2 linked regions of the Ovis aries genome follow. The protein of the gene in region 1 binds, or shares a complex with, the protein of each later gene. Links are inferred from orthologs where the notes say so. Each region holds a gene or a part of one and is shown on either strand. Other genes may lie near its edges.

Evidence for each region.
Region 2: the proteins of SORT1 (region 1) and GRN are in contact, whole or in part, in a crystal structure (PDB 8T8S), measured with the Homo sapiens proteins. The link is inferred for Ovis aries from reciprocal best matches to the Homo sapiens genes SORT1 and GRN. Residues at the interface, in NP_002950.3 of Homo sapiens: Leu108, Gly110, Ser111, Val112, Ser113, Leu114, Ile174, Gly175, Pro176, Lys260, Tyr304, Ser305, Phe306, Gly307, Leu308, Phe314, Ala315, Ser316, Arg325, Ile327, Phe350, Tyr351, Ser352, Ile353, Leu354, Tyr395, Thr398, Gly399, Thr402, Phe404; in NP_002078.1 of Homo sapiens: Pro578, Arg579, Trp580, Asp581, Ala582, Pro583, Arg585, Arg590, Gln591, Leu592, Leu593.

Annotation. Positions count from the first base shown.
Region 1 is NC_056054.1:86,597,139-86,600,948, reverse strand, and holds part of SORT1 (sortilin), read left to right. Parts: intron 1-2,347; coding exon 2,348-2,450; intron 2,451-2,791; coding exon 2,792-2,960; intron 2,961-3,550; coding exon 3,551-3,741; intron 3,742-3,810.
Region 2 is NC_056064.1:43,885,785-43,890,193, forward strand, and holds the start of GRN (progranulin), read left to right. Parts: upstream 1-1,478; 5' UTR 1,479-3,159; intron 3,160-4,287; 5' UTR 4,288-4,294; coding exon 4,295-4,409. UniProt on the Homo sapiens protein: Secreted protein that acts as a key regulator of lysosomal function and as a growth factor involved in inflammation, wound healing and cell proliferation. Regulates protein trafficking to lysosomes, and also the activity of lysosomal enzymes.

The sequences.
Region 1 (3,810 bases):
ATTTAAGTTAAATAAGCAGGGTGACAATATACAGTTTTGACATACTCCTTTCCTGGTTTGGAACCAGTCTGTTGTTCCATGTCCAGTTCTAACTGTTGCCTCTTGACCTGCAATTTGTGCTAACAGTTTGTGTTATACTAAATTGCTGAATGAACACAGAGTGGTCAGATGGGCCAGTGATTAGTTAGGAGTCATGATGGCAGCTATGAGACTTCAGCAACTCTACAGAAAGCCATTAACCAGCCATTCATGAGCAGTGCAAAGCTGTATTGGCCAGAAACAAATGGAGGAGAACTTGGCCTCTCTTCCCATCCACCAGCGCTCCACATGGCCTGTGGATGTAGGTGGTGACCTGGTCTAACATGTGGATTCAAGAGCTGAGCCCTCTGAGGAAAGGCCACAAACTAGAGGTTCAAAGGCATTGCTGCAGGAGATCCAGGTTCCATGAGTGACAGGTCTTGACAGGAAAGAAAAAAAGCAAGCTTTGTGTCTGATTCTTTTAGAGAATTTGAGAGGAGCTTAGCAGAACCCTGGGAGTTTCCTTTAAAAGTGACAGCATTGGTAATTCCAGGCTCTCTTCTGAGTACCTACCTACAGCTGGTATGTACTCTGCTGTCCTGACTGGGCTTTCTGTTTTAAGAGACTCAACCAGTGGGAGATAAATGTACCCACACCATTCCCATCACACTCTCTCCCTTGTGTTTCTTCATGACTATTGTGGAGTCTCTCCCCTCCTGCTCCCCTTCCCACCCCTCCACCCTAGCCTTGCCCTGCTCCTGCCCTTCCCACCTCAGGCACAGGCACAGGCACAGTGGCCTCCTTACTTACCTTGCCACCCTCATGCTGCTGTGCCTCTCTCTCCCTAGCACTCTTTGTGGCTCTCTTTTGCCCATGATCTGGTGAATGAAGGTCCTCTCCTCCCCTGGCAGGTTCTCTTCTGCCTTTTCATTGTTGTTGCCCATTTCACTGTCGTTGTCACCGACCCACCCCTTGTAACTCTGCTGCTCCCTGAACACCCTGCATGTGCCTCTAGCCCATGTTATTCCTGGGGAGGGCGTCCCTGTCTCCCCTCCCCCCAGTTCATTAGGGTTAGTGGAAATCCTGACCGTCCTTCAGTTCAGTTCAGTTACTCAGTCATGTCCAACTCTTTATGACCTCATGGACTGCAGCACCCCAGGCCTCCCTGTCCATTACCAACTCCCAGAGTTTACCCAAACTCATGTCCATTGAGTTGGTGATGCCATCCAACCATCTCATCCTCTGTCGTCCCTTTCTCCTCCTGCCCTCAATCTTTCCCAGCATCAGGGTCTTTTCAAATGAGCCAGCTCTTCTCATCAGGTGGCCAAAGTATTGGAGTTTCAGTTTCAACATCAGTCCTTCAGTGAACACTCAGGACTGATCTCCTTTAGGATGGACTGGTTAGTTAGAACTAATCATTGCTCTTCATTTCATCAGCAGTTTACATGAAGCTTTTTTTACTTCAATAAAATTGCACATGGCATAAAATTAACATTTTAACCAATTTGAACCTCTTTGTTTACTTGTTTATTTTTTGTAATTTTCTTGGCAACACCCTGTGGCATGTGGGACCTTAGTTCCCTGACCAGGGATCAAACCCTTACTCCCTGCATTGGAAGGTAGGGTCTTAACCACTGGACCACCGGGGAAGTCTCCCGAACCTCTTTTAAAGCATCCTTTAAAGGATTGCCATCCTGCTTTATAACTCAACTAATTTCTAAGAAATGTTTCTTAAAGACAGGACTGGGTCTTATTTCAAATCACCACATCTTGTTCAGTATCTGAAATACGGCAGGCAGTCATCAAGTTGGGAAGCCTCTCATTTTCTTTAGAGAAATGTCTTGTCAAGTCCTTTGCCCATTTTTAATGTGGGTTATTTGTTTTTTTTGTTGTTATTGAATTATAGGCTCAGTGGGATATTCTTGCTTCTTAAATGCATAATGCATTTAATAATAATTTAATAATCACATTTATAGAGAAAGAAAGTAGAGTGGTGTCAGGGTCTGGGAATACCAGGGTCTGGGAAAGGGGGAATAGGCAGTTATGGTTTAATGGACACAGAAGTTTCAGTTTTGCAAGACGTGGAAGTCTCAGAGATGAATTATGGTGATGGCTGCACAACAGTGTGAATGTCCTTAACGCTACTGAACTGCACCCTTTAAAATGTAAATTTTATGGTATGTTATTTTAACCACAATTTTAAAAAGAAGAGTATCCCACTGAAGTCTGGGTTATTAAGTTAAAAAGCCTTATTATTAGAAGACTCTGTGAGATGAATAAAAAAATTTACACCTTTGGTTTTAATGTACGCTTTGGTTTCTTTCCACAGTGCAGCCTTCATATCCATGCTTCCTATAGCATCTCTCAGAAACTAAACGTTCCAATGGCCCCACTGTCAGAGCCTAATGCTGTTGGCATAGTCATTGCCCATGGTAAGCAGCCCTCCCTCACCTCTGTGGGAAGAACTAGTTGAGCACATTGAAGCTCAGTCATAGCATTGAACCCTGTAAGAAAACCACCATCCGTGGCTTTTACCACCCTTTGCAGAATTTCTTGCAAGATAAACCCAAGAATTTCTTGGGTTTTTCATGGACTCCTATCAGAGAGCAGCAGCATGACCTCTTCCTTTACCAAACTGTTGTGGCCTATTTTTTTTCTTCCAAGAGGCCTGATGGGAAATAATCTGAATAAACTCATTCAGAATTCTTGTGACAGTGAATCCTCTCTGTTTCACTGCTGATGTGTGCTGATGAGATGGTGGGCTGTGTTGTAGGTAGCGTGGGAGATGCCATCTCCGTGATGGTCCCAGATGTGTACATCTCAGATGACGGGGGTTACTCCTGGATGAAGATGCTGGAAGGACCCCACTATTACACCATCCTGGATTCTGGAGGCATCATCGTAGCCATTGAGCACAGCAGCCATCCGATCAATGTGATTAAGTATGCATGAGCTCAGCTCCACCCACACTGTCTGCCCAGAGGGCTACCCCGGGATGTTTTTCAGTTTGTGGGGAAGTTCTGGACCCTGATTCAGATTTAGGCATTCTGCAGAGCTGCAGGGGAGGTGCTTGAAGGGGTTGCATTAAGAGCAACTCAAATTAAATGGCTTTGTGTTTTTCCTCTGACTCTGCTAGCTAACATTTTTAATCACTTAAAAAAAAATGTTCTTCTTTCTTCCCACAAGAATATTATGGATGCATTGAAGCACTCTGGATGGGAAATGACTCCTTAAATACAAGTTCTTATTGTATAATTTCTGTTTATTGATTCAGAAGCCCATTCTTATATGGGTCACTATTCTTTCTTGCCCTTGGAAGAATTTTTATAAATGCGTTTTCTTCCATACTGTTTGAGTGAATCCCGTTTCCTTGTGAACTGCAGGCATTAGAAATTAATATAGTTGTCAGTCGGTAAGCCGTCACCTAAATATGAGAGTTCTCTGATTTGGGATGGAAACAGCTGGAGCAGTTTCCTGATACTCCGGTAAACGCTGGTCCTTTGTCACGGTCTCCCTCTAACTGTGGTTTCAGGTTCTCCACAGACGAGGGCCAGTGCTGGCAAACCTACACGTTTACCAGGGAGCCTATCTACTTTACGGGCCTGGCTTCAGAGCCTGGAGCCAGGTCCATGAACATCAGCATCTGGGGCTTCACAGAGTCCTTCCTGGCTCGCCAGTGGGTCTCCTACACCGTCGACTTTAAAGACATCCTCGAAAGGAACTGTGAGTGTCTTCTTTGACCTTTTCTATCAGAAACTTGTAAACCCATTTTCCTAAATAACCCATCTAGTT
Region 2 (4,409 bases), on another chromosome or scaffold:
CTTAACCTACAGTGCTTCCCATCCACTTGGCAACCAAACACTGCCCTTCCTCCAAGATCCGGCTTCAGGCTTCCTCTAGTATCTCCTGGTACATCTCCCATCACCCACCTCTGCCTGGGCCAGGCCCCATAAAGGGCACCAAGCAGTCTAGCTCCTGCTGCTGGTGAATCTGTTCTGTGCGGTTTTTTTTTTTTCTCCCTCACTGGCTTCCTTGGTGGCTAAGATGGTAAAGAATCTGCCTGCAATGTGCAAGACACAGGTTTGATCCCTGGGTTGAGAAAATCCACTAGAGAAGGAAATGGCTACCCACTCCAGTATTTTTTCCTGGAGAATTACATGGACAGAAGAGCCTAGAAAGCTACAGTCCATGGGGTCTCAAAAAGTCGGACACAACTGAGCGACTAACACTTTCACTTTACGGCTTCCCTGGTGGCTCAGTGGTAAAGAATCTACTTGCAAAGCAGGAGACCCAGGAGACTGCGGTTTCATCCCTGGAGAAGGGAATGGCAATCCACTCCTATATTCTTGCCTGGAAAATTCCACGGACAGAGACTTGTGGGCTATATAGTTCATGGGGTCGCAGAGTCGGATACGACCGAGTACACACGCTCGCTAACGCGCGCATCAACAAATCAATTCCTGAAAGGTAAGGGCTTGACTGAAACTAAGGAGCTACTTCCGGTATGCACCCACACCCACAGTCAGCCCAGCCTGGTGCCACACACCCAGCAACTCCACAAGTCCACTTCACTGAACCTGGCATTCAATCCCCGCCCAAGGCTGCCCTTCCATCTGGTTTTCTAATGCTTTTCCCAATACCCTCTGTCTAGCTACTTCTCCAACCCGTCTCCACTTGCCACTTAAAATCCTCCCAGACTCAGCTTCAAAAAGTGCCCCCAAGGTGGCACTTTTTTCCTGCTCAGATCTAACCAACTACTTCTTCTCTACACACACCTGGAGCACCTGGAACACGATTCTCCTACCCCCTCCCCATCCCCTGCTGTGAGCACCTTGAGGAAAGGACCTGAGGTCTGTTTATCCTTGCCCTCACAACTCTCCTTCAGTCCCCGTTGGGGCCCGGCTGCCGAGCACTAAATCTGCATGGGATGAACAGAATAGAGACAGGATGCACAACTGTTCTAAATCCAAGAGACACCCCTTAAATGCTCTTGAACGCACCCACTAAGGGACAGATCTCTTGGCTCTCAATGTCCCCGAAAAGGAGCTGACTCTCGGGATGGGTTAACAGAAGGCAGCGGGCACCCGCAAGCAGGCTGAGCCGTCCCAGGGCGTCACATGATTCTCCAATCACATGATCCCTAGAAATGGGGGGTTGGGGAGAGAGAGGAAGGAGGGAGGGGAGTGAATTGAGTAGGAAAAGAAACACAGGATCCCAGGTTGGCCCCGCCTTTACGTCGACGAGTAGCCAATGGGAGTGCGACATTCCGGACACCTGACCAATGGAAATTGAAGTGGGTGGGCCATCGAGCCGAGTGGCCCAAGTGGATGAGCTGCCTGACCGCTGCTACCCAGCGATCGCGGACCCCGACGCAGGTAAGGAGGGTGGACTTCGCTTGCTCCTTCTTAGGGGCCCAGCCTGGGGGACGTGGGAGATGGGGCTCCTCTGGAGTTTCAGCGGTGATACAAAAAAAAAGATTCTCTTATAGAAACTCCGATGCACTGGAGGGAGTTTTATGGGTGGTGGGAGTAAACAGTAATTGCAGTGACCCCCATTAGAAGGGGCTCTCTCTCCAGCACCCCTGGAGGCTGCAGCCCCTTCTCCCAAAGCAGAGATCACTCTGTTCTTGAGTCGACTCCGCCCCCGTCGGCAGGTGCTGGTAGTGGTGCTGGTGGGCAGTCCCCGCTGCGCCTGGCAGCAAGCGAGGCACCCGCCCCTGGCCCCCGAGCTCAGAGGGCTGGGAGTAGGGCTTGTGATCCTGGTCTCCTCAAAGACAGTAGGGACTTGGGAGTGGTGATTGAACCCCTGGGATGTGTCTGACTCTCTCTAACTTCCTCTCGTGGGGCTAACTTCCGCCTCCCCCGGCCACTTTTTCTTGCTCTCTCCGCTGTTGGGTTGGCTCACCTTTTGGGAAATCTTTCTCCTGGCACTCGAAGTGGGGGGCTGCCATCTAGTGGAAGATGACGGAGCTGGGGACTTGAAGAGGCAGTGTCCTCCCTCTCTGTAGTGGCAGTGTCGGGTTGGGGTGCCACCACTTGGAACCCTACTGAGATGAACTGGGTTCCCTCTTCCCCATTCTGGTTCTGAGTGTGTGTGTGCGCGCGTACATATATGTGTATTCAGTAGAAGCGTACACTACTTCCAAACCCCAGGATACCCAGGAAGAAGGATGTACCTAAATGAATCACTAGGGTGCTGAGTAGTCAGAGATGTGTGCAGACAGGCATCCCTCCTGGCCAGGGCAGGCCAGCGAGTCTGCAGGGTTATGATTGGACTCCTAAAAAGCAGGGCGGCCAGCTCCCTTTCCAGGGAGCTGTGGGCATTGGGGAAGAGAGTGAAAGGGGCCAAGGTCCAGGACCAGTCTTCTTCAGCCTCTCCTGTACAGGAGATAGCCTCCAGGGGGTGGTCTTTGAGTTGGGGAGAGGGCGGTGAGGAAAGCCAGGTGAGGGAGAGAGGATGTGAGTGACCCTGTGTGTGCTATTCTCTGCCACACAAAGTGTGCAGTGTCCACCCATAGACTGACTGAGAACTGAGGCCTAAAGACAGGAAGCAACTTCTGAGGCCTTCATTCTAGCACTCATGTGCAGTATCCAGGCAGCCCCTGTACCCCACATTTCTGTCTGGGTCCAGTCTACTTGCCCAGAGAAACATTTCTATCCCTCTTCTCTGCTTGGACACCAGGCTTCTATCCTCCTTGGGTTTGGGGGGCCTGTCCCAGGCACTGTCCGTGGTACCACTTGTGAACCCAGGTCCAATATACTCTGGAGCCATCAGAGCCTGTCATCTCTATGTTTTGATATTTGACATAGGCGGGTTACTTCCTATCTCTAAGCCTCAGTTTCCTCCTTAGAAAAGTAAAGGTAATAATTCCTACTTTGCATGGTTGTTACAGAAAAAAAAAAAAAAGAAAATATGTAGAATGTTGTCACTGGCTTCTAACTGGTTCAGCACACATGACTGTTTTGGCCCCTCTAGACAGGGTAAGATCTTCTGGGCCTGCCCCATTGAACTAGCAGGGCTGGCTGAGCTTGGGGGAAGAGTTGTTCAGGAAGTGAAAGGCCACTCCCCTTCAGAGAATGAGGCTTGCTTCCTTCTGCTGATGTGGATGGCAGCCTGGTGGGCACACATGGGCTCTCTACATGCAGCTGGGTTTCTGCTCCAGGATAGGGAGAGGTGGAGGGGAAGGGTGGTGGGAATGTTTGAGGATCCTGAAAGGGCCTGGTGTGGGACTTCCCTGGCAGTCTGGTGGTTAAGACTCCAAGCTCCCAATGTAGGGGGCATGGGTTCAATCCCTGATCAGGGAACTAAGAACCAACATGCTGCATGGGCATGGCCCCCCAATTTTTTTAATTAAAAAATTTTTAAAAGAAAGGTCCTGGTTGTATTGGGGGCCCATGGAGCACAGGTGACCCAAAGGTTGACCAAGCCTATGCGTCTCCTTTGGATGGGGAGGGGACAGTCAGCAGGCAGGTGGTGGCTGGCCTTTGGGGAAGGCAGCCCAGACTCCGTCAACATCATGCTTCCTTTTTCACAACTTTCTCAACCCCGTGGTTGATCATGTCATCATGTGACCTCCCCTCCCCTGCCAGCAGGCCTTAGCAGAGGGCAGGTGTGAACACAGCATTGGGTGAAGAGGCAACTGGAGGCACTGGCTCGGGAAGTGAAACCCTGGCTTTCCTTCAAGGGGAGACTTCAGTTCTTTCTTCCTAGGGCAACTGATGTCTTTCCCACCCCCATGGAGGTGGCTTACCTCCCCACAGCTCAGGCCCACAAAACCCACAGATCTTCCGGACTCTCACATACCCACATCTGCACACACTCAGCCACAGAGATTCAACTGTTAGGCCATGCACTGGGGACACAGATTCACTCACGTACGCATGCCAGCATTCATGCTCATGGATGTACACTCGCTGGTGCACGTGTGACCCCCGCACAGGACACACGTAGGAAGCTGAGCCTCAAGCCCCGCATCTTCTTGCCCGGACAGGCTGTTGTTGTGGAGGCTCAGATGGTCCTGGGCCTTCGGCAGGGGGCAGTGACTGGTCCCAGAATCAAGGGTGGCCTCAGCTTAAGCCAGTTGCCAAATGCTTCTTGGCACTTTGCAGGTGGACCATGTGGACGTTGGTGAGCTGGGTGGCCTTAGTGACAGGGCTGGTGGCTGGAACACAGTGTCCAGACGGTCAGCTCTGCCCTGTGGCCTGCTGCCTGGACCCGAATGGAGCCACCT